Linked DNA regions of Macaca mulatta. The protein of the gene in region 2 interacts with the protein of the main gene of each other region in a biochemical or structural test. Links are inferred from orthologs where the notes say so. Each region holds a gene or a part of one and is shown on either strand. Other genes may lie near its edges. The genes, in order: IQGAP1, CDC42, PAK2, CDC42EP3, CDC42EP5, TRIP10 and PAK1.

Region 1 (3,500 bases), on a different chromosome or scaffold from region 2:
TACACAGAGAAAGAAGCTAGTATTCTAGATCATGTTAGAAAAATAACACAGAGGGCTGGGGTAAAAAGAAAGAAGAGTAAAAGCACTATTTTATCAAAGTACTAGATCAATTCAGTGGGATTCTGATTCAGTAGGCCTGGGCGGTCTCCAGGAAACTTCATTTTTAACTACTAGCCCATAGGATTCTGATGCAGATGGCCTGGGAAGACATTTTAGAAACCTAGCAGTAGATATTGTTAAGAGTAAGAAGCAAAAGGCCGGGCGTGGTGGCTCAAGCCTGTAATCCCAGCACTTTGGCAGGCCGAGGTGGGTGGATCATGAGGTCAGGATATCGACACCATGCTGGCTAACACAGTGAAAGCCCGTCTCTACTAAAAATACAAAAAATTAGCCAGGCGTGGTGGCGGGCGCCTGTAGTCCCAGCTACTCAGGAGGCTGAGGCAGAATGGCGTGAACCCAGGAGGTGGAGCTTGCAGTGAGCCGAGATTACACCACTGCACTCCAGCCTGGGCGACAGAGTGAGACTCCATTTCTAAATAAATAAATAAAAAAGAATAACAAGCAAAAAAAAGAGACATCAAGGAGATGCACGTCAGTTAGATCACAGGAAGGTGAGACACCTGGCTACCAGAGATGATAACCAGCAGCCAGGGATAATAATTAAAGACAATGAAATTAAGTAATTAAAGAAAAATACTTACAGTGTGGGTGTTGATGATTTCACCAATGGAAATGTAGATTACTGGTTTGGTGAGGGTTACTAAATCAGAGTACTCATCCACATTAAATTTATCCTGAAGCTCTGGGACATCACAAGCAGTTTGGAAAAACCGTCTAAAATAAGCACAGGAAGCAGCCCCCCAAAAAGGGACATATGCATGAGAAGTTGGCAAGAGGACATTTCACAAACCTCTCACACAATGAGTGCAAACAGAAGCCAGTCAATATAGTTACTTCAAGAGAAAGTGCTGTGTGTTTGCTGTGCTTGACAACCTTGGGATACTGGCTCTAATAACTTCTTTCTCCACCTAGTTTGTAGTTTTAGTTTTATCCTTAAGAACCATTGCACCATGATTTAAAACTGTTCTCAGGCACCATTAGGAGAACCAATTCTATCTCTAAGACAGTGCTCTGAAGCATTCAAAACTAGATGTTAATTTACAAAAATTAAAAGCATTCTCCAATTCTTCTCTGATTACAAGGTAACGTACTAAATGCATAATCATCATTATTTTTATGTTAACTACTATCTATTTCATAAGTGTTAACTACTATGTATTTCATATGAAAATTCTCGGCCGGGCGCGGTGGCTCAAGCCTGTAATCCCAGCACTTTGGGAGGCCGAGACGGGCGGATCACGAGGTCAGGAGATCGAGACCATCCTGGCGAACACCGTGAAACCCCGTCTCTACTGAAAAATACAAAAAACTAGCCGGGCGAGGTGGCGGGCGCCTGTAGTCTCAGCTACCTGGGAGGCTGAGGCAGGAGAATGGCGTGAACCCGGGAGGCGGAGCTTGCAGTGAGCTGAGATCCGGCCACTGCACTCCAGCCCGGGCGACAGAGCGAGACTCCGTCTCAAAAAAAAAAAAAAAAAAAAAAAGAAAATTCTCTTCAAAGTACATCGATCATCTTCTGGAGTCCCGGGCACATCAAACATGTCTTCTACAATATGGCAGTCAGGGAAAGTGAGGGGTGGTTTTTAATCTTATCTTTTCCCTCAATGATAAAAATACATCCACAGACTCTCTTAAGCACTTGTGCCTTTCCCCTTACCTGAATTTCTGGTAGGACTGGGAAAGATATTCATTAATGATGCTTAAGTGGGCATTATCTCCCAGAAACATCTTATTAGAAGCAGCATGCTGAAGCATTTTTGCAATGGAGCCCAGATTTCGGCGTTGGTCTGTGGTAAGCTGGCCTCCTGCCGACAGGTCAATGATGTCAAAGGCATCAGGAGCAACAATGGCTGGATTCATGTATCGATAATAAAGCAAGTTACCAATAATCTGGAACAGATGAAACAGAAAGATGGGTATTAAAAGACATACCACCAAGTAAGCCACAAATGACTTTGCTAGCAAAGAAAAGCAGAAAATGCAGTCCTATGAGTAAAAAATAAATAAAAAATACATACACACATGCACGCATGCACATATACACACTCTTTCTCATGGCCTGGAACTAAATGAAATATCCCTTTGTTCAATACAGGAAAACAATGAGAACAGAACTGAAAACTACTGCCAGTAGTTAATGAAAGAGCAGATTCAGAAGGTAAAAATGATACACTTAAAGTCTGTTATTAAGTATTTCAGGACATCTTTTGTTCACATATCATGGTAGCAAATAAGGCTGGTGTCACCCACGTGCACTTTGTACTTTCATGTAGATGGGTTTTCCTTATAAAAAGCTAACAAACATAGCTAAATTCCTTAACATGACCCAATCAGCATAGAGTAACCCCACCTCCCAACATTCTCATGCTGCAGACTTCAAAGGCCAAGTTCATGCCTCTGAAATTAAATTCACTTAACACACATCTGTTCCACAGAAGAATTCAGGGACAGTCACAGCATTTCCCCTAGAGTTTCATTCAGAAGAAATAAAATTAATTCACCTGAACAGAAAGTCTAGAATCGAGGCCTCACTGTAGGAAAGCACAGAACTAGGAGAGAGAAGAAAAAAGCATTCAGATTAAAAAAAAAGAAAAGAGAAGAGCACAGCTGAGTAAGAAAGAGCTATCAGCAACAGCCTTAGCAGAAATAACTGTGCTTGCTACTATTTGCCAGGTCACCAGCAGAGGGAACAATACTACAGCGAAAAGACAGGACTCAAAGAAACTCATCTGAAAACAGGAAAAATCCATCTTTCTACTTGTTTGATGTTTGTGCGCCAAACTATAGGAAGTGTTTCATCCTAAGAGAGGTATCATTTACCAATTACAATTGTTTTCAAAAGCTCACAATCAATGGCAAGCTACTGCCAGAACCTACACTTAGGCAGTTAGTAATGATCTACGGTCAGTCCTGCTTTTATAGCTTTGTCCTCAAAGGGCAGGAGTCTGCCGGCTATCAGATTCTTACCTTCAGCAGCTCATCCTCACCAGCATCAGGGAACTTCTCATGCAACGAGTCCTTCAGCACTTTGGCAATGAAGCGCATCCCATAACTGCGGGATGGACAAAACTTAGTGAGAAGGGCCAAGGAGCAGAAAGGCACTTACTGCTGGGCTCTACTGGGGGTCATGACAACTGATGGCACTCACGGGATTTTGTCCACAGAGCTGACAATGGCTGAGAGAAACTTGTCTGTCACAGCCCGCATGTTCCTGATGGAGCTGTCTAGCCGTGTCTTCACTTCTTCATGAGCTAGCGCCTGCTCAGGGGTCACATCATAGGGCAGTTTGCTGGGAAGAGAGAAATTATACCCAACTATGTTAGACTAACAGCCAGGAACAGCCTGAAGCAAGTGTCCTATCTTTCATAAACTGAAAGACCCAG
Region 2 (4,109 bases):
GAGAGAAATAACGGTTCCCTCAAAGTACTCAAAGTGTCCAAGAAAAGGCTGACAGATTATTTGCTGGGATTTTTTTTTTTTTTTTTTTTTTTTTGAGACAGAGTCTCCCAGGCTGGAGTGCAATGGCATGGTCTCAGCTCACTGCAACCTGCCTCCCGGGATCAAGCGATTCTCCACCTCAGCCTCCTGAGTAGCTGGGACTACAGGTGCATGCCACCACACCCAGTTAATTTTTGTATTTTTAGAGAAAATTTTAGAGACGGGGTTTCACTATGTTGGCCAGGCTGGTCTCAAATTCCTGACCTCATGATCTGCCTGCCTCAGCCTCCCAAAGTCCTGGCATTACAGGTGTGAGCCACTGCGACTGGCCAGCTGGGAATTTTGTGAGTAAAATTCATGTTATTGGGCACAAACTGCATGATGTGAGACATCTTCTGTAACAAGATGCTTAATATGTAAATAGACCATAAAACCCTTATCAAATTCAGTACAGCATATACTAATATTGGTTGTACTAAGTTATGTGTGAAAATGGGAGGTTTAACAATGCTAAATGGGAAAAGACCCAACACAAATTCTGGAGTCTTTAGAATTAATTTACAATAGAAAAGCAATGCTTTCATATACAACTATAATCTGTCAATTTACAATAAAAATTTAAAAATTAAATGATATATATAAAAAGAAAAGCAAAGCTTTCCAACTAGGAGAAGAATGCCACATTTTAAGACCAGCCCTACTTAACCTTTGGGTACCTACTCTGATTTTCTGATTTATGTTTTAACAGACTGCTCAAGAGCTTATTTAAATGTAAAGAAGAAGAGAAGCAAGGGCCTGAGGGAGATGACAAAGGAAAGTTCGTTCTTAAAAACAAGAACAAAGAAATCGAATGAATGTGATTAAGCTCTCAAACCAAACACATAACTTTCTTAAATCGCACTTAAGAGACTCAAAAACAACCCTCCTTTACTGGATTGTTCATATCCAAAACCAGACTAAGAATCAGAAAAGCTGGCTTCCATTCCAAAGTCTACTTTCCCTAGTGTAATTACACTAAGTAATTAAAGTCAGACTTCTAAGTCTCATCCCTAAATTGGGCCTGAGTACTCTCATCCATAAGCGATGGATAAGACAGTATGTATTGTCCCATTCAACTCTGAATTTCTATTACTCTAGAAACGGCAAGCTCCAATTTATAGATGGGAACTAAAATGCATTTTACACCAAATCCATTTCCATACTAACTTCAACAGGTACCATGAGAACATTATTTGTGCCTCATGGTCCATTCATTTACCTAAATCGGCTCATTTAAAATTTTATTCTACTACTCTTCCTTCCACCCTATCACTTTTCCAGAGATGTACACACAAACATACATATAAAAAACCCACAAGCCCACTTAAAATACAACACCAGAAGATCAAAGTCATAAAAGACTCAGAAATTATGTTTACAAGTTAAACAACTTCAATGGAAACTAAAACAGAAAAACTCTGATAGCTGTCCTCACTCTGAAACAAGATTCATATACCTCTAAACGTCCCCTGTAAGTCCACTGAACCTCACAACATCTTCCATTTATCTTGTCTCCAAATGGGCCAATTCAAAATATCAATGTGATTTTAGTGTTTAATAATACCTTCAAATTCTCCCCCCTTCAAAATAAACAACTTTACTTATTTTTGAGACAGCGTCTCACTACCTTTCACAAATGAGTGTTACTCTAACTCTTGTCTCTCTCTCTCTCACTTCAATATCTTTGTTATTCCCACCTTCCTTCTCCCATTCCAAAGAGCTGATTTAAAAAACAGCTGTGGGGTCGGGCATGGTGGTTCACGCCTGTAATCCCAGCACTCTGGGAGGTCGAGGCGGGTGGATCATTTGAGGTCAGGAGTTCGAGACCAGCCTGGCCAACATGGTGAAACCCTGTTTCTACTAAAAATACAAAAATTAGCTGGGCGTGGTGGCGGGCACCTGTAATCCCAGCTACTCAGAAGGCTGAGGCAGGAGAATTGCCTGAACCCAGGAAGCGGAGGGTGCAGCAAGCCGAGATCGCACTACTGCACTCCAGATAGAAGGGGCGATAGAGACTCCGTCTCCAAAAAAAAAAAAAAAAAGGTTGTGGGGGGTGACCCCCAAAGGTTTCTGTTGGTATTCTCATAACATAACAGGTCTTCTCTTCTCTGCCCCTAACAACCAGTTTGGAGCTCCATTACTGCTAAGAGAATAGTTCCACAAGAAAAGTGGAGACACATACAACTTTCTCTCAAGTTACAGGACCCCAAATGGTATCCCAGGAGACCTCCAAGTACTGTTCAATAACTGGCCAAAATATCCAAAAAAAAAAGTCACCTCATTCCAAGATGTAGGGCATACTTCACCAAATTGAGATCACCACTCGTTAGAATCTTGTCTACTGGAGTTTTGCCTCCCAGCACTTCTTGTAAACCCTTGTGTCACCCCTTCTGACTTTCCACTGATTTTTCAGCTGTTTAATTTTAAAGTGTATATAATTTACCCATGAGAAGTCAAGATCTTTAAAAACAGGAAACAAAGGCAGAAAACAGAAAAAAATTCAGTACACACAGAGAAAGAATTTTCAAAAGGGTATCAAATTTTACATTTTACTAACAGAAAGAAGCCTTTATACTTACAGTTGGTACATATTCCGATGGAAATTTGTTTGTTGTGTAGGATATCAGGAGACATGTTTTACCAACAGCACCATCGCCCACAACAACACACTTAATTGTCTGCATTGCTGAAATAGTTTTGTATCCACTTTAAATATTTCAAATCTGATGTTGACCTGCAAAAAGATTAAAGACATGTTTGTTTATGCTTATATATGTATTTTTTTTTCCTCACTTAGCAACAGGTTAAGGCACTCAGAGCAAGAAAAGAACTAGCACAATTATTATGGCTAAAAGAACCCAATAAGAGAAACAATGACTTGCTATAAGTTACAATAACAAATAAGGTTCATTTCTAAGTTTCTGATCCCTGGCTGTTTCAACTTCTTAAGTGTTATTTCAGAAGGTCCCAACTGGTGTGATAAACAGCAAATTTATTTTTATAATGAAAAAGAAGAGACTGTATCAGAGAAAATTCCACATACTGTACTAAATATTATTTTGTGAAAGCTTTTCTTCGGTTACACGTGCACACACACCTGTATGTATGCATGTATGTGAACTAGACTGCAATACAAAGGCCACCGCTTTAAAGAATGGTTCATTATCCAGCCTTACTCAGCCTTACTCAGGCTCTGACCAACAAGCAGTAGAGCCTCACACGAATTATATGAGTAACGTGAGGAACTGAACAAAGAACAGGGTGATCGCTGGCCTCAGCAGCTGTTTTAGCACCAGAATGCCTAGTCCAAAACCTACATTTTTATAATGAAAAGTCAGACTGCTCTAAAGCATACTGACTTATAAACAGATACTACAGCTTCTCTTATTCGAGTTCTCCTCAATTTTAAGAAGTTATCAATTACAAGTACCAAAGAGTCATTAATTTGAGAAACTTTTTTTCATTTAAACATCTCTAAAGTCAGAATGTATCTTTATTGAGTCTCTTACAATCATTATCAGCCATTTTTCCCCCACATTTTGACTTCTATGAAATTGGAATCTTAGATTCAATGAAATACTTTAACAGTTTTCTGAAAGAATAAAAAGAAATACCACCCAATATATACCTAAATTTTAAGATTTATTTATATGTAAATTAATTTAAATTATAATCCTAAAAGGGTTTAATTAAACATAAAAATACAGAACCACCTAACTCTTGGTCAGATGCCACCATGCTCCTATAGCACCATTCACAACAATTAATCATAACAATTTATAAACGCCTATTAACATCCCTGTAAATGAACCTATAGTACCTCAAGCACCACTATACTTCTAGCACTGAGCACTTCTAGACTGGCACACTGCGAGTTGTTGAAAGGATGCAAAAATCAAGAACACGAAATTACACTAGTGTGAGTAACCTACAGGAAATACACACTCTCCCGTTCCTCATCAAAATTATCTGCAGTATATTTTTCTTTTTTTAAACAGGGTTTTACTCCCATACCCTAAGCTGGAGTGCAG
Region 3 (3,500 bases), on a different chromosome or scaffold from region 2:
TTATCTTATACCTGAAGGAAAGGGCTGAAATGCCTGTGTAGGATGAAATGGTATGGGGATGGAGTAACTTGTAGAGAATGTGTACAGAGAAAGCACTTCCCACAATAACAATTAACTGTGCAGAAAAAGTTCCTTTTGTTCACTTCTTGCTAACCACATATCACCATAACGTATCAAGGAGGAGGCACACCTACCTCTCTGCATACAGCAGCAATCTGTGCTTCATCCATGCAGGTTTCTGTTACCACATCAGTGAGCGATCCACCAGCAAGGTATTCCATGACCACAAACAATTCATCTCCTACCAGGTAACTAAAAATACACATACCAAATACACTCACACTTACATTTTTTCTAAACACATGGTATCCTATGTTGAAGAATTCAAATATTAAACACCCTAACAATGAAACTAGAGGGCTGGTAGCTTGAGAGTTAGGAAGAAAATTGGAAAGCTGCTATGTAACAGCACAGAAAAATAACTGAGGTTATGACCCTGAATCATTTTTAAGTTACAGTTTGCCCACAACTGTAGTGTGAGTATGCACACAGATTCATTCTGATTAAAATAATCCTACAATATAGAAATTACTAGTCCCGTTTTAGAGATAAAGAGACAAAGGCTTGGAGAGGTTCGTGACTCATCCAAGGTCACATAGCTATTAATAGTAAGTGACAGAACCAGAATCTGAAGCCAAGCATCAACGATTCCAAAGCCCATGGCTTATCTTAACCACCCTACTATGCTGACTTGAAATGTTATTTCAAAAAGCAGGGAACTGTACCTGAAAAGTTTATTTTTTATTTTTTTTTGAGATGGAGTCTTGCTCTGTTGCCAGGCTGGAGTGCAGTGGCGCGATCTCGGCTCACTGCAACCTCCGCCTCTTGGGTTCAAGCAATTCTCCTGCCTCAGCCTCCGGAGTAACTGGGACTACAGGTGCGTGGCACCATGGCCAGCTAATTTTTGTATTTTTAGTAGAGACGGGGTTTCACCATGTTGGCCAGGATGGTCTCGATCTCCTGACCTCATGATCCACCTGCCCTGGCCTCCCAAAGTGCTGGGAGTACAGGCATGAGCCACTGTGCCTGGCCTGAAAAGTTTATTTCTATGAACATGTTCTCCATAACTAGGGCTAAAGTCTCGAAATGTATTATCATTTCCTTATTCTAAACAAATTTAAATATGGAAGAAAATCACCTATAATCACCTCTATCTTCAATAAAACCACTGTTGTCATTTTCAACTAATCTTCTCTCATTCGTATATGTGACTGCTTTTTCAAGCGCAGTTGTAGTAATATACATCATTTTCTTTTTTTTTTTGAGAAGGAGTCTCACTGCGTTGCCCAGGCTGGAGTGCAGTGGTGCGACCTCAGCTCACTGCAACCTCCACCTCCCTGGTTCAAGCGATTCTCCTGCCTCAGCCTCCTGAGTAGCTGGGATTACAGGTGTGAGCCACTGCACCTGGCCAATATGCATCATTTTCTATTCTGCTTTTTGGTCTGTTATTTAACATTAATTCCTAAACTAAATGAGGTTTTGATAGACATACAATTTGTCCATAAAGGATAGCATTTGAAATAAAAATTGATCTACAAGTTTAAAAACCATATGACCAGTCCCCTGTCAGTCACGACATGAATCACAGCCAACCATTCATGTTTTCACTTCAGGTCATTTGCAATGAATATAAACACCACCAGCTATGGCCTTCATTTAACTGCCTTCTCTCACTTGCCAAGTGATATCCTTGTAGAGAAGGACCTTCTAAAACTGCAGTGTGCTATTTTTACCTCTCCTCTTATTTCTCAGCATTGACAGTTTATTCTAAAGTGGCTAGCCAGCCCCCAAACCATGAGACTTAAAATTTCTACATTTTTATCCCAATGTTTAAGAAATAATCATATTTACCTGTCCAAGAAGTTAACTATGTTGGGATTTTTTAATTCTTTCATCACCAGAATCTCATTAATGATCAATTCCTTCTTTGGCTGTTTCTGTAAATTAATCTGTTTGATAGCAACCTATAATGAAAACAGGATTGAAAAAAATCAGGTTTACGAATTCTCTTAAAAAATTACAAACACCAAGCAGTTAATAACTTACTTTACGGCATGTATATTATATTATACAATGCTATTACTCATAGGTGGTACTTTTACTTGCACATTGCCTCTGCACAATGCTTTGTAATGTATAGAGCCTAAACAGTTTTAGATTTATCTTGAAGTTAATACACCCACAGTCAGTCCAACACTAAGAATTAATCCTCTTTTCACTTGAGCTGAGAAAACAATTTTTAAATACTTGCTTATTTATGACATTAAACTCAAAATTCCTTCTTTGTTCCCCTTAATGACAGAAGTGCTATAAAAACACGTAGAGCAATCCTTACAACATGTTCAACTTAAAAGAGAGTCCTAGTGATTCTTCCCAGCTTTATCTAGTTTCCACCTATATGACAAAATAATGGTAACATCCAGGATTATGACAAAGTAGCTACCTCCTGTCCCAATGCAACGTCAGTAGCAGTGAAAACTGTACCAGAAGCCCTAGAGGGAGAAAACAGCCAGATTTAAGGTTGACAAATCACCAGCATTTACAATATCCAAAGACTTTACACTTCAAGCAACTGAAAAAGAATTAAAGAACAGTGACGACCTAACATGCTTAAAAGGAGTAAAAGCAAAAACACGAGGAAAGGGGGTGGGGGAAGAAAAAGAGACAATCCTCATGGCCAAAACTTATGTTTGAAATATTTCAGACCTACAAAAATGTAGGGAAAAAAGATCAAGAAAAAATATATGTAACATATACTTATGGATACACTTCCCTGATTAAGATACAAAGAACTATAAATAATTTGAAGATTCCCATGAGCCCTTTCCAACAGCAGTCTCCTTCCTCCCAAAGGTGATCTGTATTTGGTGTTTATCCTGTATTTGATGTTCATCATTTTCATGCATTTCTCCATACTTTTAACTACAAAGGACACAGATGTTTATCCCTATAAAATATACTTTGCCTAATTTTTTTTTTTTGAGACGGAGTCTCCCTCTGTCGCCCAGGCTGGAATGCAGTGGCACAATCTCCACTCACTGCAAGCTCCGCCTCCTCCCAGTTTCACGCCATTCTCCTGCCTCAGCCTCCCTAGAAGCTGGGACTACAGGCGCCCGCCACCACGCCCGGCTAATGTTTTTTGTATTTTCAGTAGAGATGGGGTTTCACCGTGTTCACCAGGATGGTCTCGATCTCCTGACCTGGTGATCCACCCGCCTCGGCCTCCCAAAGTGCTGGGATTACAGGCGTGAGCCACCGCGCCCGGCCTGCCTAATTTTTAAAGTCATATAGTTTCATTTCACATATTATCCTGCAACTTGCTTTTGTTACTCAATACTGGATTTGTGATGGTCATCCATATGGATAGGCATTGCTTGTTCATTCATGCTCAAAAATAATAAGATAATCTTCAATTCTCTTTCACAAAACCAGTGCTGCAA
Region 4 (4,163 bases), on a different chromosome or scaffold from region 2:
CACCACATTAAAGGAAAGGCTGGAGGGCAGACAGGGCAAATGAACTCACGTGAGCCCTTCTGCAATCATTGTTACGGCTTTGTATTACTCATCTTGCACCACACTTAAATGTACAATAAAAAGCAAAAAGTGTGCAACACGCATTACTCTAGCTGCTTTTACTTGTTCCATAGAGATATGCGAAACAATTTCACTGCTCAGATTGAGGGAAAGAGGAGCTCATCTTATTTCAAGCCTGTAGCTGCTGCCACAGCCTCAGCACCACGTTCTAATCATAGACTTCATCATGTAAATCTCTAGCAGATGATACCACTGGAAAACAGAAACTGCCATGGATCCAGAAATGCTTCCAAATTTCTCCTCTAAAGTTCTTATCTGTGAACTCAGAGGCTGACGCTGTCTTATTCAATGGGTGAGGCCCACTGGGAAACCCACATTATTTGGGAGACTATGAAGAACTTTCCACCATTCCTTGACTATATAAAAGGCCTTTATCACGTATTTCATGATACATGAAAATGCTAAATATTTCACAACTACTCCAACTTATTTCTGAGGGTCTAAATCTATTCTGAAAAGGGTATGCATCACACACCTACCTGTGTAGCTTATTAACTACCAATAAGAACTCACACAAATTGCAGGGGGTATGAAATAATAGACTTCTGGGACTGTCCAGAAAAGAAGAGAAGGTACATTTTTCCCGGTTTTAAGATGAAAGCTCTTGTGTAAGTTAGAACATTACAGGAGTCGTTTAAATTCTCTTAGGTATACCTTTGGGGCATCATCCCTGGTTCCTGGCGAGTCTTTTTTCTCCCTGTGATGTTAAGAGGAAGTCCCTAAGACTGGCTTTGCTATTAAAATACAGACATCTGCTGCTCTCCTAATTTTTGTTCTTTTTAAATGGGAGTACTCCCCAGAAACTCTGGGATATTGTGGGAACTAAGATCTGGGAGATGGGAACGGAATCTTTGTCTCCCTAACACATTCATCAGTTCCCTCCCTAGAGCCCCCCATACCCTCAGCACACACCAGCAGCCCACTCCTCCAAAGACGCCAGGGCTGGAAAGATTCATGTTGCAATACCCTCCTGACATTCCTCATTTTAATTCGCTCACTTTTTTTTTTTTTTTTTTTAAACAAAATGTAATTACTTGACTGTCAGCCTGCGCTGCACTCTGGGGCTTTTACTCCTTTCAACACAGCTGCGCTCCCGGCTTTGATGCTGCTGTCCACGCAGCTTGTCCCAGCCACAGCCTGGCTCTCGGTAATGTAACATTCAAGTGCATATTTATTTTTAAACTGACCTCTCCTAGACTGCACAGTATAAAGGAGATCCTGCCAAAAAATATGCTACTTTCTATTTATAAGATGAAACACATGCCTCCCAAAGTCGGAGGGGGATAGAGTATAATAATTCATAACGAAAAAACGATTGGCCAGATCCACTCGTCCTCACGTCTGATACTTGTCTGTGTCAAGCCACTTGGTTTCAAGGAGAAAGGGAGGAAAACTACAATCAAAAAACCTTGTAAACGTTTCAGCTGTTCACCGTCAAAAAACAAAAAAGTCAATATCCAGATTTCCAGGTTGGCGCCCCACTAACAATGTCCTCCATTAAGAAAGAGGAGGGCACCGGGCAGGCGATGCCACGGCAGAGCTGTGCGATGCACCCATGTGCGGCCCTGGTACCAATTCACGACGCGAGGGGCGCGGTAGCCAAGTGCGGCTTGTTCTCAGATGGAAAAATGCTATACGCGCCCAGAATGGCTCTGTCAATAGCTCGGAGGGAGCAATGGGGCCGCGCTGCCCCACCCTGAAAAGCGGTGGGCACAAATGGTGGAGCTCTGAGTCCCGGTCATGCCGCCCGCCCCACTCCTGGCTTGCTTTATGTCCCCTTCGGTCCGTTGGACACTAGATGTGAAAGCGATGCCCTCGGTATCCCGGCTCCCTGCTGGTTTCCCAGCCTAACACCAGCGCACGCCGGAAGCGGCCACGGCGCGGGCGGGACAGACTCACAGACAGGTAGAGAGGAAGGAACCCTGGATTACCCAGACTCACCGGCCGCCGCTGAGAATCCCAGCCGCTGCCCCGGGCCTCCCGCGGGCGCACGCAGCCCCGGCCGGTGTGCGCAGATCCAGCCGAGTCTGCCGGCGCGGTGCCTGCTCACCGCATTATCCGCTCCGAGACAGCGTGAAGGCGCCCCAGGCCGGTGGCCGGGTCTCCGGGCTAACCCCGCACTGCGGACCCTCGGCCGCAAGAGAAGGTGCGCGCAACTGAGAGCTGGGCGGCAGGACGCGAGGACTGAACCTGCGGAGGGCGGGGCGGCGCGGGGCGGGGCCGGCGGCGCGGGGACGGACTGGGGCGGGGCGGAGGGCACGGGCCCCGGGGCCGACCCTCCCGGCCGCTGTACCTGTGCCCTGGCCCGGGGCCAACCGGCAGCCGGGCGCGCGCGCAGGGGGGTTCACCGTTGGACCCTCGGAGGACAACGGGCGCCCATTGTTACCTCTCCAGCGCTACCCCCCAGTAGGCGACTTCCCTCGGAGAAGACGCCGCTTTCGACTCCCTAAGCACAAAGAAAGGTCGTCGGACGCTCGTTTTAAAGAGGGACCCGGAGGTGCTGCCGCCCGGGTGCACGGGGACAATAGGACTCCGCCCGCACCCCGGACTCCCGCACTAAACCTCGTGCGCCCACCTCTCCCGATCCCAACAGGCCGACCTAGCCGTGCGAAGTTCCGGTGTGGCGGGCGGTGACCGGCAGGGAAGCGAGGCCACCTGAGCGCGCCTCCCCGTTCAGGCCGCAGCTCCCCAGGTCCCTCGCAGCCAGTGCTCTGGTGGGCGCGGAGGGGGAGGGTCGCGTTCTGTCAGTTTCCAGCTCGCTCCCCTTGGAGCTGCAGCCAAAACCCGGAGCGTGGACTTCGCGCCCTGGAGATGCCGGAGCTCCGGGCTGAGCAACTGGACAAGCGACGAACAGCAGACGCTACAGGTTCTCCTGTCCAGAGGGAGGCGTTTCCTCTCCCTCAGGGTCTTTCAAAAGGATTTGCCTAAAGCTGAAGCAAGCTGGTGGCGGCTGCCCCAGACGCGCGACGAGGCGCAAGTGGCGCAGCTGCCGGCCCGGGACCGTAAAATTCCTCCCGTGGTGGCACCTGCGCCCGCCGGTCAGCGGGCCACAGCCAGCGCCGCCGACTGGCGCACCCCTCCCCTCCGCCGGGGCACTAGCGTGAACCGGGTTAATGAATGCTAATTTTCTTAATCGGCCTCCGTCTTTTCCTCCTCCGCGAGTCATCGGCCTGGGGAAGGAGTAGGCGACAGGAAAGGGCGGTTTTTTCCGGCTGGGAGGTCCCAGCCCGCATGATTAGCCTGGGGAGGGGGCTGGGACCCCGGGGAGTCGGATGCTCGGGGCCTGGTCTCTGCCCTGAGACTCTCAGGTTGGATGGAAATCCCGGCACAACGCGGAGAACTTTCCGGGCACCTTGGCTTTGCCGAGAGGTCCCTAGCTTCAGTCATCACCGCGGTCCTCTAGGTCTGTCTGAAACCCTAGAGGGTGCACCTTAAGCCGATGTTGTAAACCCAGGCTGACTTTAAGGTGAAGTGAAAAGGAAACGGACACAATCTGGAAAGCAAAATACTTGGGTGGGGTGTTAAAAGCTTCAAAGAAAAATAATAGTTGGCAGGTCAAATGGCCATGAGGTTGGAAGTCAAATAAGAAACTCGGCTGAAGTGATGTTAGAAGTTTGACAAGCAAAACAGTCCATGAAGATAAGAGACCCAGCATTGTTTCCCTTCTTCAAAAGACAACTCGTCCAAAGTTTCCTTTGGCAGATACCTGGATTCTACTCCAGATTCCTGAGCATTTTACTTGGGTTTCATATTTCAAATTATATGTTCCATTTGGCACTAATGTATATATTTTATATATTAATTTATTGAAAAATATTAAATGTTGCTGGCCTACTTAGAAAAAGGTATTTTTATAAATATTTATGCATAGTTTTCATTACATATGGTATTTTATAAGCCCAAATAATATGTGTGTATTATATGTATAAAATACCACATGAAAAATTCCCTTTGAACACATAAAGACATTCCTGACACACATGTCTTGTATGTAATTTTTTTTATGTGATCTATTGTTAGCTGCTGTTAAAAGTACTTTATTT
Region 5 (2,708 bases), on a different chromosome or scaffold from region 2:
AGTCCAAATCATTTGCACGTTTCGCCCCATCCTTCTGGGACCTTAAAGAACCAAGATGCCAGCGGACCCTTCCCCCACGGAGACCAGGCCCCGACTGCTCTAAAAGGGTTCCCAGACACTTCCCTCTGCAGCCGCTCCCAGAGTAAAGGGCAGCCCCGCCCGGTCGGAGTCCACCCGAGGCGTGGAGGCCCAGGACTCCCGGGGCTACAGCAATCGGCAGCCCCGCCTCGGCGGGCTCTGCGGTGGCTGAGTCTGGCCCGGCCCCAGGACCAAGTGCAGCCAGCGGTGGCGCTCAGTATTTGACGAACGGGACTGCGGGAGCGGCCGCCTCTGCAAGCGGCACCGCCTGGCCTCGCCCCCGGGCTCTCTTAAAGGAGCCGCACCCCACCCCAGGGCAATCATCCGACCCGGACCAGATCTCCCGGTGACACCTCCGGCTCTTAGAGGCGCCAGGACCCTATCATTCATCCCTTCCCACGTGCAAAGTGAAAAGTCAGAGCCCGGGCACACGCCTTGGACGTTTATGTATACAGAAGTGGGGTGCCGGGCGGGAAAGGCGCAGGGAATGGGGGAACCTAGAGGCCGATGACGTCGTCCAGCTCGAGGTCCCCGCTGGGGCGGCAGCGGGCCTTGGGGGGCTGCGTCCCGGGGCGGGGTTCCGCGTCGGGCTTGGCGGCAGCTGCCTCCGGGCGCGCCGCGTCCATGACGCCCAGCACCGCGTCCAGCATGGAGGGCCCCAGATCCAGGTGGAAGGACAGAAGCGGGTCGGCAGGCGAGGGCGCCGCGGGCTGCGGGACGGCGGGCGGTGGTGGGGAGCGGGGGGCCCCCACGGGGGGCGCCCGGGGCTCTGGGGGCGGCCCGCCGCCGTGGCGGCTCAGGAACGAGGTGTCCCCGAAGGCGTCGCCGCCGCGCCCCACGTGCAGCGTGTGCCGGAAGTCGCCGAGCGGCGCGGAGATGGACAGGGCGCCGCGGTCCGGCCGCTTCTTGGGCTGTGCGGGGCCCAGCTGCTTCAGCACGGGCATCTGCGAGGGGCACGGGAGGGTCAGCGAGGCCCCAGCCCGGGGCTCGCAGCCGCGAGACTGCTCAAAGGACCATGGGGGACAGCTCCCGTTTTTTTTGTTGTTGTTTTGAGACGGAGTCTCATTCTGTCCTCCAGGTTGGAGTGCAGTGGCGCCATCCCGGCTCACCGCAACCCCCCCCACCTCCCGGGTTCAGGCGATTCTTCCTCCTCAGCCTCCCGAGTAGCTGAGATTACAGTCACCCTCCACCACACCCAGCCAATGTTTGTATTTTTGTAGAGACGGGTTTCACAATATTGGCCAGGCTGGTCTTGAACTCCTGACCTCAGGTGAGCAGCCCGCCTCGGCCTCCCAAAGTGCTGGGATTACAGGCGTGAGTCACCGCGCCCGGCCTCCCGTGTCACAGATGGGGTAAGATGAGACTCCAGGAGGTCCCATGGGCACAGCTGCTGAACTCACATTTGGATCGAGGTTTTCCTAACCTGACTCCAGAATTCCCATGACCACCACGCTATGCCGATCCTCCTAAGAGCGAATACTCGAGCCTTCCTAGAGGCCAAATAACAAATATTTCACAAACCCTTCAGAGTGCTTCCCAGACTTGACTGATAGAAAACTCCAGCTTGTTGGGCCGGGTGCGGGGGCTCACGCCTGTAATCCCAGCTTGAGAGGCCGAGGCAGGCGGATCGCTTGAGGCCAGGAGCTCGAGACCAGCCTAAACAACATGGCGAAACCCCAACTCTATAAAAAATGCAAAAATTAGCGAGGCATGGTGGCGCATGCGTGTCATCCCAGCTAAAGTAGGAGAATCGCTTGAACCCTGGAGGCAGAGGTTGCAGGGAGCCGAGACTGTGTCACTGCACTGGCCACTGCACTCCAGCCTGGGCAACAGGAGTGAAATCCTGGCTCAATGGAAAGAAAAAGAAAACTCCAGCTTGTCAAAGATGGAAATTCCCAGGCTCCTTTTCTGAAGACAGGGCTGACTTTGTCCATTGAGCAAAGCAGATCCTGCCTAGAGCCCACCAGGCACACAAGGAAGAGGCCCAGGCAGACTTTGCCTAGGGTGCATTTTATGATTTGAATTACAGTCCTTGGTATCTGTGGGTTCCGCATCAACAGATTCAATTAACTGCTGATCAAAAATACTGGGGAAAAATACAGTAATAAAAAAACGAGTACAAGTTTCAAGCAATATAACACTTATTTGCAAAGCATTTACATTGTATTATGCATTATAAGTAATCTAGAGATGATTTAAAGTGTAGGAAAGGATGTACATAGATTATATGCAAATACTAGGGCATTTATATAAGAGACTTAAACATCTTCAGAGTTTGGTATCCATGGGGATCCCAGAACCAATCCCATCACTGCTACCAAGGGACAACTGTACCTGATCTTGAAAGACTACAACCTAATATTATGATGTCTTATGTTTTCTAAAATAATAATAATACAAATTCCCTAGCCAGGCACGGTGGCTCACACCTGTAATCTGAGCACTTTGGGAGGCTGAAGCAGGTGGATCACCTGAGGTCAGGACTTCTAGACCAGCCTGACCAACATGGTGAAACCCCGTTTCTACTAAAAAAAAAATACAAAATTAGCTGGTTGTGGTGGTGCATGCCTGTAATCCCAGCTACTTGAGAGGCTGAGGCAGGAGAATCGCTTGAACTTGGGAGGCGGAGG
Region 6 (3,500 bases), on a different chromosome or scaffold from region 2:
GTAGCTGGGATTACAGGCACATGCCACCATACCCGGCTAATTTTTTATAATTTTAGTAGAGACAGGGTTTCACCGTGTTAGCCAGGATGGTCTTGATCTCTTGACCTCAGTATACCATCTTTAAAAACTGGAAAATTCTGTGTTCCAAAATACATTCGAGGTCCAGTGCAGTGGCTCACACCTGTACTCCCAGCACTTTGGGAGGGTGAGGCGGGAAGAGGCGGAGTTCGGGGGGATTGGAGTTTGAGACCTCATCTCAAAAAAAAAAAAAAAAAAAAATTAGTCAGGTATGGTGGCGTGTGGCTGTGGTCCCAGCTATTTGGGAGGCTGAGGTGGGAGGATCACTTGAGCCCAGGAGTTTGAGGCTGCAGTGAGACACGATTATGCCACTGCACTGCAGCCTGGGTGACAGCAAGACCCTGTCTCAAAAAAAAAAAAAAAAAAAAAAAAAAATTCTACTCAAAGGTTGGGGTTAAGGAATATGGACCACAACTTGTCATTGCTTCGAGGATTAAATTCTTGGGGCTTAACCCTTTTCCACCTGGAGGTGCGTCCTGGGGCATCAGCCTATTTGGGGGGCCTGACTCCCTGTTCCCCGATTCTCATCCTACCCCAGATTCAGCCAGCAGCAGTCCTTCGTACAGATTCTCCAGGAGGTGAATGACTTTGCAGGCCAGCGGGAGTTGGTGGCCGAGAACCTCAGTGTCCGTGTCTGTCTTGAGCTGACCAAGTACTCACAAGAGATGAAACAGGAGAGGAAGATGGTGAGGAACTCCCCTCCGATTCAGGTTTTGGGAAGGGCTCCTGCTGGAACCCTGGCGAGCCTTATCGCTCTTCTTTCTGTAGCACTTCCAAGAAGGGCGGCGGGCCCAGCAGCAGCTGGAAAACGGCTTCAAACAGCTGGAGAATGTGAGTTTGCAGAGGTGGCAGTGACTGTGGCCCGGAGGCACGGGGGTCAGGGTTGCAGATCCTGGAGTCAGGGACCTGCCCTCTTTGTCAGACCTGGTCCTTCCCTGCCCCATAGGCTTCTAGTACGCCCTTGTCCCCTACTTACTGGTTGACATCCCAACAATCCCTGAAACCTTGGTTTCCCACCCTGCTGTCTTTGGGAGGGTGGCTCCCTCACTCTGGTTCTGTCCCCTACACAGAGTAAGCGTAAATTTGAGCGGGACTGCCGGGAGGCAGAGAAGGCAGCCCAGACGGCTGAACGGCTAGACCAGGATATCAACGCCACCAAGGCTGACGTGGAGAAGGTGTGTGAGGGGGTGGCGGGGTCTGGGACAAGCTTAGGGGGTCCGGGTGGGACGTGACCAGAACCTGGTAGTACCTTCCACCTCCTCATTCCTCAGGCCAAGCAGCAAGCCCACCTTCGGAGTCATATGGCCGAAGAAAGCAAAAACGAATATGCAGCTCAACTGCAGCGCTTCAACCGAGACCAAGCCCACTTCTATTTTTCACAGATGCCCCAGATATTTGATGTGAGTGCTCCCAGTTCTCAGACCTACCTTCCCAAAAGCCCCCAAATGTTAGCCAACTCCTGCACATTCGTCAAAACCCCAGCTGCAATGTCCCAGTCCCTAGATTGAAAGGGAATCAGAAACCTATCATAACAGCGAGCTGTGCTTTTAATCAGCTGTTCTTCCTGCTGGGCATGCCTTTTACTTGTTTGTTTATTTACTTCTATAGAAAGATGGGGCCTGGCTCTGTCACCCAGGCAGGAGTGCAGTGGCGCAATCCCAGCTCACTGCAGCCTGGAACCCCTGGGCTCAAGCAAGGTTTCTTTCCTTTTGAAATTCCTACTTATTATTTTAAGCTCCACCTCTAACAACCTCTCTGAAAGGTCTCGAATTTCCCCTCTCCTGTTTCAATCTAGCGCTCCATTCTCTGTCCCATCCCAGGCCCTGGAAGTATCAGGGCTGGTTCTGCTTTTTCTTCAAATCCCTGCTCCTTTGTCTCCTCCTTTGAGAAGCCTTTGCTGACCCCCTAGGCAGGCGTCCCCCTCTGAGATCCCCCTGGCACTGTGTCGCTCCCCAACCACACTGGGCTGGAGTCTCTTCTCTTCCTGACTCTGTCTTCCCCTCCAGACTGGCTTGGGGTTGGGGCCAGCGTGGAGTGCGATCATATTTGCAGAGTGAATCACTGTGCTTCTAGTCCCTCTGTTAGCACCCCTGAGCCACCCTTGTCCCCGTCCCTACAGAAGCTCCAAGACATGGATGAACGCAGGGCCACCCGCCTGGGTGCCGGGTATGGGCTCCTGTCGGAGGCCGAGCTGGAGGTGGTGCCCATCATCGCCAAGTGCTTGGAGGGCATGAAGGTGGCTGCAAATGCTGTGGATCCCAAGAACGTGGGTGCCTGGTCTGGGTCCAGTGGGTCATGGGAAGGGCGGAGGGAAGTCCCCATACGCTGGTCACTTGACTACTCATCCACTGTCCCCCTCCCCCAGGACTCCCAAGTCCTTATAGAGCTGCACAAGTCAGGTTTTGCCCGCCCGGGCGACGTGGAATTCGAGGACTTCAGCCAGCCCATGAACCGTGCACCCTCGGACAGCAGTCTGGGCACCCCCTCGGAAGGACGTCCGGAGCTCCGAGGCCCAGGCCGCATCCGCACCAAGCGCTGGCCCTTTGGCAAGAAGAACAAGGTGGGGGCCGGGACCCTTGGGATGGTGGGGGAGAAGGACAGTGAGGTGGGGACAGCGGGGCCCCTGTTGAGTCAGCCCCAGCCGCCTGAACGCCGAGTCCCGGGCAGGAATTTTCCTCTTGGCTGCCAGCCCGGGCTGGAGGGAAGGAAGGCGGGCGGGCCGCTTGGCCTGGGAGTCCCCCGAGGCGAAGGCGGGGGCAGGGTGGGGAGGTCTGTGGCGTTTGTCTGCTGCTTCTCGGGATGCTGGGAGAAAACCTGCTGGTGGAATTCAGAGCTGGCCTGAGGGCTGGTAACACCATCCCTGGGGACTTCCCGAGTTTCTCTCTCCATCCTGCTGATGGGACTCCGGGAGCTGCCCTGCACGTCCTGGTTTCTTGGGTTTTTGGATTTTAATATACCTTAGCACCCTTGGTTTATACCTTTGATTTATACTCTGGGTCCCTCTTGACTTACACTCTCATACCTCTCCTTGACTTCCACCTGCGATCCCCGAGCTTAAACCTCTGATGCCGCTAACCCCTCTCATTTTCCTGCCTTCCACTCCCTCTCAGCTTGTGGTTTTATTTTTGTTTATCTTTTGTGTCCTCCGTGGCCTCACACCTGTCTGAGACCTCGATTCCTGCATGCGTCTTCTAGACTGTCAGCCCAGAAAGCTAAGTGGACAGAGAGACATGGGCCTCCCTGCCTCCTGGACCCATGCTTGCTCCCGGACATAACATTCCAGAGACCTAGGAGATACCGGGGGTGTGAGAGTTCTGGCTTTTGGGCTTACAGTTTAACGTCCTCCCCGCCACCTTCCAGATGTTTTTGTGTCGCTCCTGCATGCGTTTTCTCTGTGTGATTGTGTATCTTGAGTTGTGGTT
Region 7 (3,500 bases), on a different chromosome or scaffold from region 2:
CTCTGATATTTACCCACCTCTGCAGGTGCCAAGAACTATGTTAAACACTAGAAATACATATATATGGATTTCCTCTACTTTTTGAGGTGTTCATGGTTTAGTGGGGAAAAAAATGTTTTAAATGAACATGCCTACAAATAAAAAAAAACGTATCAGTGTTAACAACTCTCCAATTTTGAAGCCCATTTTCCCTTAAGGTAACTTTGTGACCTACAGAGAAAATGATTCCACAGATTCTGTTTATAAGTTCTCATCTTAAAAGGTCATATAATTCCTTTGAATTTCCTCCACAGCATCTCCAATAGTCACTCAACCAATTTCTGTTCGAACACCTCCCTGAATGCCGTATTCCAGAGGTAGCCCTTATTTATTTATTTATTTATTTATTTTCAAGATCACAGAAGTGCTAGATGGTTCCTTCATTATGGACCTAAACAAAGAAACACTAGTAGAGTATCATCTGATGGCAGGTCAGTGCTCAGTGATGCCAAATTAAGTAAAAGGCACGGGGACTAGATTTTTCAAAGCAAGGGTAGAGGGACTATGGCTATTCTTAGATGCAGGAACTTCAAAGAAAGTTAAACAGAAATCATTGCCAACATCCGGCATCAAAATGCACTCCTGATGCCCAGCATATTAATAGCGCTAATGTATTTATAAATTCTCTTGGGTCTTTCAGTATTATCGATAATGCTCTAAGAGGCTCAATGCTGCATATTTAACAGAGAAGAAAAGATCTGTAGCAAGACAATTTGTTGCTTCCCTGGAGACTGGAATAATTTATGTTTGTCCTGCACTAAGTAGCATCAATCCTGTATATCTTCCTGTCCTATCTGTGGAGAACAGGCTAAGCAAACCAAGACTGGATTGGTATAAACATCAATTACATAGGACACTTTGGGACTATCTACAAACCGATGATAAATAAATACACCATTTTTTGTCTTTAATCATACAGAAAGTACCTTTAGTCAAGGTAGTTCAGTGATTTCACCAGCTCCAAAATCTAAGGACCCCTACCAGAATATTAAATTTCTAGGTCTTAGCACCAACTCCTCCCTCTCCCCACTTACTCTAATAAATCACAAAACTGTCCAGGTCCCAAAGACTCACAGATTTTGTGTGCTCTGGGCGTGGAGCAATCACTGGTGGTGGGGTAGCATCATCATCATCATCATCCTCATCTTCTGAAACTGGTGGCACTGCAGGAGTCTCAGACACAGCCTTCACATTCTGTGCAAAGAAGAAAAGCAAGATGCATCTGGTCCAGCTGCCATGGAACTTAACTATCAGGATCACCAAACCCCCCAGGGAGAAACCCCAACCTGATACCCCTTCTGAAATCCACATTAGCCTCCAAGCTCTCACCTCCGTGTAGCTAGTCTCAGAAACTCAATCTGTTTCTCCCTCTTCTCTTAGCCATCATATCCACTCAATCCCTTGGAGCTTCCTTCTCCCACCCAAAGCCTAACTGTGAATGGGAAGCTAGCTTACAGCTTTTCTACCTGCCTCTCCCCCAACCCAACCCCTGAAGACAAGCTCACAGTACCTTCTTATTCTATGAATTTTGCTCTCCATACTGAATAGGAAATAAAGTATGAAATGTAGGGAAGGGATCAAAAGTTTCTAATTTTTCAAAATTCATCATTATAATTTCTTACTCTCTCCTGATATGGTAAATGGCAGTCTAAACAGGCTTTTGCCCTGTCCTTTTCCTCTCTTTGCAAAAATTTCCTGGACCCATTACGTCACCAGGGGTCCTCACCTCAACCTGAAGATAAAGAACATCAGCATCAGGATCATGTTGTCTAAAGAGAACAATGAATTTCTCCCCAGACTGGATACTATTTCCCTAAGCTTCCGCCCTACCCTGGAATGGAACTTATCACTAATTAGATCTGCTCACAATCTGTGACAACCTGATTTCCCCATGCAAACTGTAACAGAGCTGGGCCAAGAGTGGCAGGTTTTAGGGCAGGTCCAGGCAAAAATAGCATGCCATTACTGTTTATTACACAGAATTAAGAGACAAAATGCCTCCAAAACATGAGATTTTTGATAGAGACCAAATGATTCTATCATTTGGTCAGCAAAGAACCAGAGAGGCAATGGGGATCTTTTAATATATACTGATATAATTCAATAGTTTCAGGTATTTTCAGAGCACCTACTTTGTGCTCAGTAAGACTGATACTGTTGACATAAATGTACAAAGATGAAAAAGATGGTCCATGTCCTAAAGTAGTGACCATCTGGTATAGGCGATAGACAGAGGATGAGAGCCCCTCCTGCCTGACACCTGGAGCCTCCTAAGAGGAAGGTCAAGAGTCAGAATAACGGGATAAATGGAAGAACTAAGGAATAATATACTAGAGCTACTGACTGTGGAAGACTGTCTTTTACCACATTTGACATACAAAAGTAGGAAAAACTGGCACTCTCATAGACTTTAACAGGGCCTCCAGCACAAAGCATAACTTAAAAACTGACAGTGCTGGGCATATATAAGCAGTTGTGGTGACCACAGGCAATAAATCTGTCTTCTTGGTTTGAAGTTTAATCACCTGAGGAATGTGAAGGAAGAGGAGTGTTATAATTTGAGGGATGACCTTAAATCGTTTTCAGTTCCAAAACTCAAGAGAGGTTCTTTCCCTGTCAAAATATGTATTTCGATATTTTTCTGCTCTAATTTATTTTCTCCCCACTAGTCAACAAAATTTAACTAAAAACCTAATGTGGGAATAAAGTTGACTCAGCAAGGCTCTTCATCATCAGGTAGCCCTGGAGCTCCCCTGATGTATACTATAAACACTAGGTTTGTTTGCTTTATAAAACTGTAGAGAAGGGGATTTCATCACCTTCCTCAGTAAAAGATTCTGTCTTCCATAGGTGATAGCTTTGGGCAGTGATAATAACATCTGTCAGAGAGAGAAAGGTCTAGGTTATTACCTAGATTTTTACTTGTTAGCCCTGTGTCCTTGGGCAAGGGTCTAAGTTAAGTCTCACATTTTTAATATATAAAATAGGGATAATGACTACAGCTTTCTGCCTACCTCAGAGGGCCATTAAATGGATGAAATGAGGCAAAGTGAACATAAAATCACTGAAAATGGTAAAGAGCTAGAAAGATGTAAGGAATCAATTAAATTATCATTATGTCTAATAATCACAAATCTCTGTTTCAAACAAAAGCCACACATTCCACTATTCATCATCCATCTACCCATCTAGCCATCCATCCATCCATTCACTGTGTGCCAGGCTCCATTCTAGGCTCTGGGGCTAAATAAAGAATAAAACGGATAAAGCCTCTGGTTCTATAACTTACATTCTAGAAGAGAATAGAGTAAAAAACAATCACCAAAGTCTCTGCTCCACATAGGAGCAGAGATTGGTTGGGGGGTGGGGAGACACTATTTTAGATACCATAGGCATGGGCAAGCCTCTCTAATGAGATGTCATATAACAGTGACCTGAATGAATTAAGGGAGCAAGCCATG

What was found.
Region 1: the proteins of CDC42 (region 2) and IQGAP1 form a complex in vitro, tested with the Homo sapiens proteins (6 studies listed by BioGRID and IntAct). The link is inferred for Macaca mulatta from reciprocal best matches to the Homo sapiens genes CDC42 and IQGAP1.
Region 3: the proteins of CDC42 (region 2) and PAK2 form a complex in vitro, tested with the Homo sapiens proteins (4 studies listed by BioGRID, with this or other methods). The link is inferred for Macaca mulatta from reciprocal best matches to the Homo sapiens genes CDC42 and PAK2.
Region 4: the proteins of CDC42 (region 2) and CDC42EP3 form a complex in vitro, tested with the Homo sapiens proteins (2 studies listed by BioGRID). The link is inferred for Macaca mulatta from reciprocal best matches to the Homo sapiens genes CDC42 and CDC42EP3.
Region 5: the proteins of CDC42 (region 2) and CDC42EP5 form a complex in vitro, tested with the Homo sapiens proteins (2 studies listed by BioGRID). The link is inferred for Macaca mulatta from reciprocal best matches to the Homo sapiens genes CDC42 and CDC42EP5.
Region 6: the proteins of CDC42 (region 2) and TRIP10 form a complex in vitro, tested with the Homo sapiens proteins (3 studies listed by BioGRID and IntAct). The link is inferred for Macaca mulatta from reciprocal best matches to the Homo sapiens genes CDC42 and TRIP10.
Region 7: the proteins of CDC42 (region 2) and PAK1 form a complex in vitro, tested with the Homo sapiens proteins (11 studies listed by BioGRID and IntAct, with this or other methods). The link is inferred for Macaca mulatta from reciprocal best matches to the Homo sapiens genes CDC42 and PAK1.

What each region holds. Positions count from the first base shown.
Region 1 is NC_133412.1:80,370,156-80,373,655, reverse strand, and holds part of IQGAP1 (ras GTPase-activating-like protein IQGAP1), read right to left. Parts: intron 3,407-3,500; coding exon 3,266-3,406; intron 3,170-3,265; coding exon 3,085-3,169; intron 2,008-3,084; coding exon 1,775-2,007; intron 835-1,774; coding exon 702-834; intron 1-701. UniProt on the Homo sapiens protein: Plays a crucial role in regulating the dynamics and assembly of the actin cytoskeleton.
Region 2 is NC_133406.1:218,932,870-218,936,978, forward strand, and holds the start of CDC42 (cell division control protein 42 homolog), read right to left. Parts: upstream 2,801-4,109; 5' UTR 2,763-2,800; coding exon 2,658-2,762; intron 1-2,657. UniProt on the Homo sapiens protein: Plasma membrane-associated small GTPase which cycles between an active GTP-bound and an inactive GDP-bound state. In active state binds to a variety of effector proteins to regulate cellular responses. Involved in epithelial cell polarization processes.
Region 3 is NC_133407.1:2,356,721-2,360,220, reverse strand, and holds part of PAK2 (serine/threonine-protein kinase PAK 2), read right to left. Parts: intron 2,553-3,500; coding exon 2,504-2,552; intron 2,025-2,503; coding exon 1,912-2,024; intron 313-1,911; coding exon 195-312; intron 1-194. UniProt on the Homo sapiens protein: Serine/threonine protein kinase that plays a role in a variety of different signaling pathways including cytoskeleton regulation, cell motility, cell cycle progression, apoptosis or proliferation.
Region 4 is NC_133418.1:87,264,273-87,268,435, reverse strand, and holds the start of CDC42EP3 (cdc42 effector protein 3), read right to left. Parts: upstream 2,801-4,163; 5' UTR 2,062-2,800; intron 1-2,061.
Region 5 is NC_133424.1:66,777,911-66,780,618, forward strand, and holds the end of CDC42EP5 (cdc42 effector protein 5), read right to left. Parts: intron 1,023-2,708; coding exon 576-1,022; 3' UTR 501-575; downstream 1-500. UniProt on the Homo sapiens protein: Probably involved in the organization of the actin cytoskeleton. May act downstream of CDC42 to induce actin filament assembly leading to cell shape changes. Induces pseudopodia formation in fibroblasts. Inhibits MAPK8 independently of CDC42 binding.
Region 6 is NC_133424.1:7,604,940-7,608,439, forward strand, and holds part of TRIP10 (cdc42-interacting protein 4), read left to right. Parts: intron 1-616; coding exon 617-764; intron 765-846; coding exon 847-909; intron 910-1,148; coding exon 1,149-1,253; intron 1,254-1,349; coding exon 1,350-1,478; intron 1,479-2,197; coding exon 2,198-2,344; intron 2,345-2,443; coding exon 2,444-2,638; intron 2,639-3,500. UniProt on the Homo sapiens protein: Required for translocation of GLUT4 to the plasma membrane in response to insulin signaling. Required to coordinate membrane tubulation with reorganization of the actin cytoskeleton during endocytosis.
Region 7 is NC_133419.1:77,772,864-77,776,363, forward strand, and holds part of PAK1 (serine/threonine-protein kinase PAK 1), read right to left. Parts: intron 2,919-3,500; coding exon of another isoform or gene 2,859-2,918; intron 1,287-2,858; coding exon of another isoform or gene 1,234-1,286; coding exon 1,114-1,233; intron 1-1,113. UniProt on the Homo sapiens protein: Protein kinase involved in intracellular signaling pathways downstream of integrins and receptor-type kinases that plays an important role in cytoskeleton dynamics, in cell adhesion, migration, proliferation, apoptosis, mitosis, and in vesicle-mediated transport processes.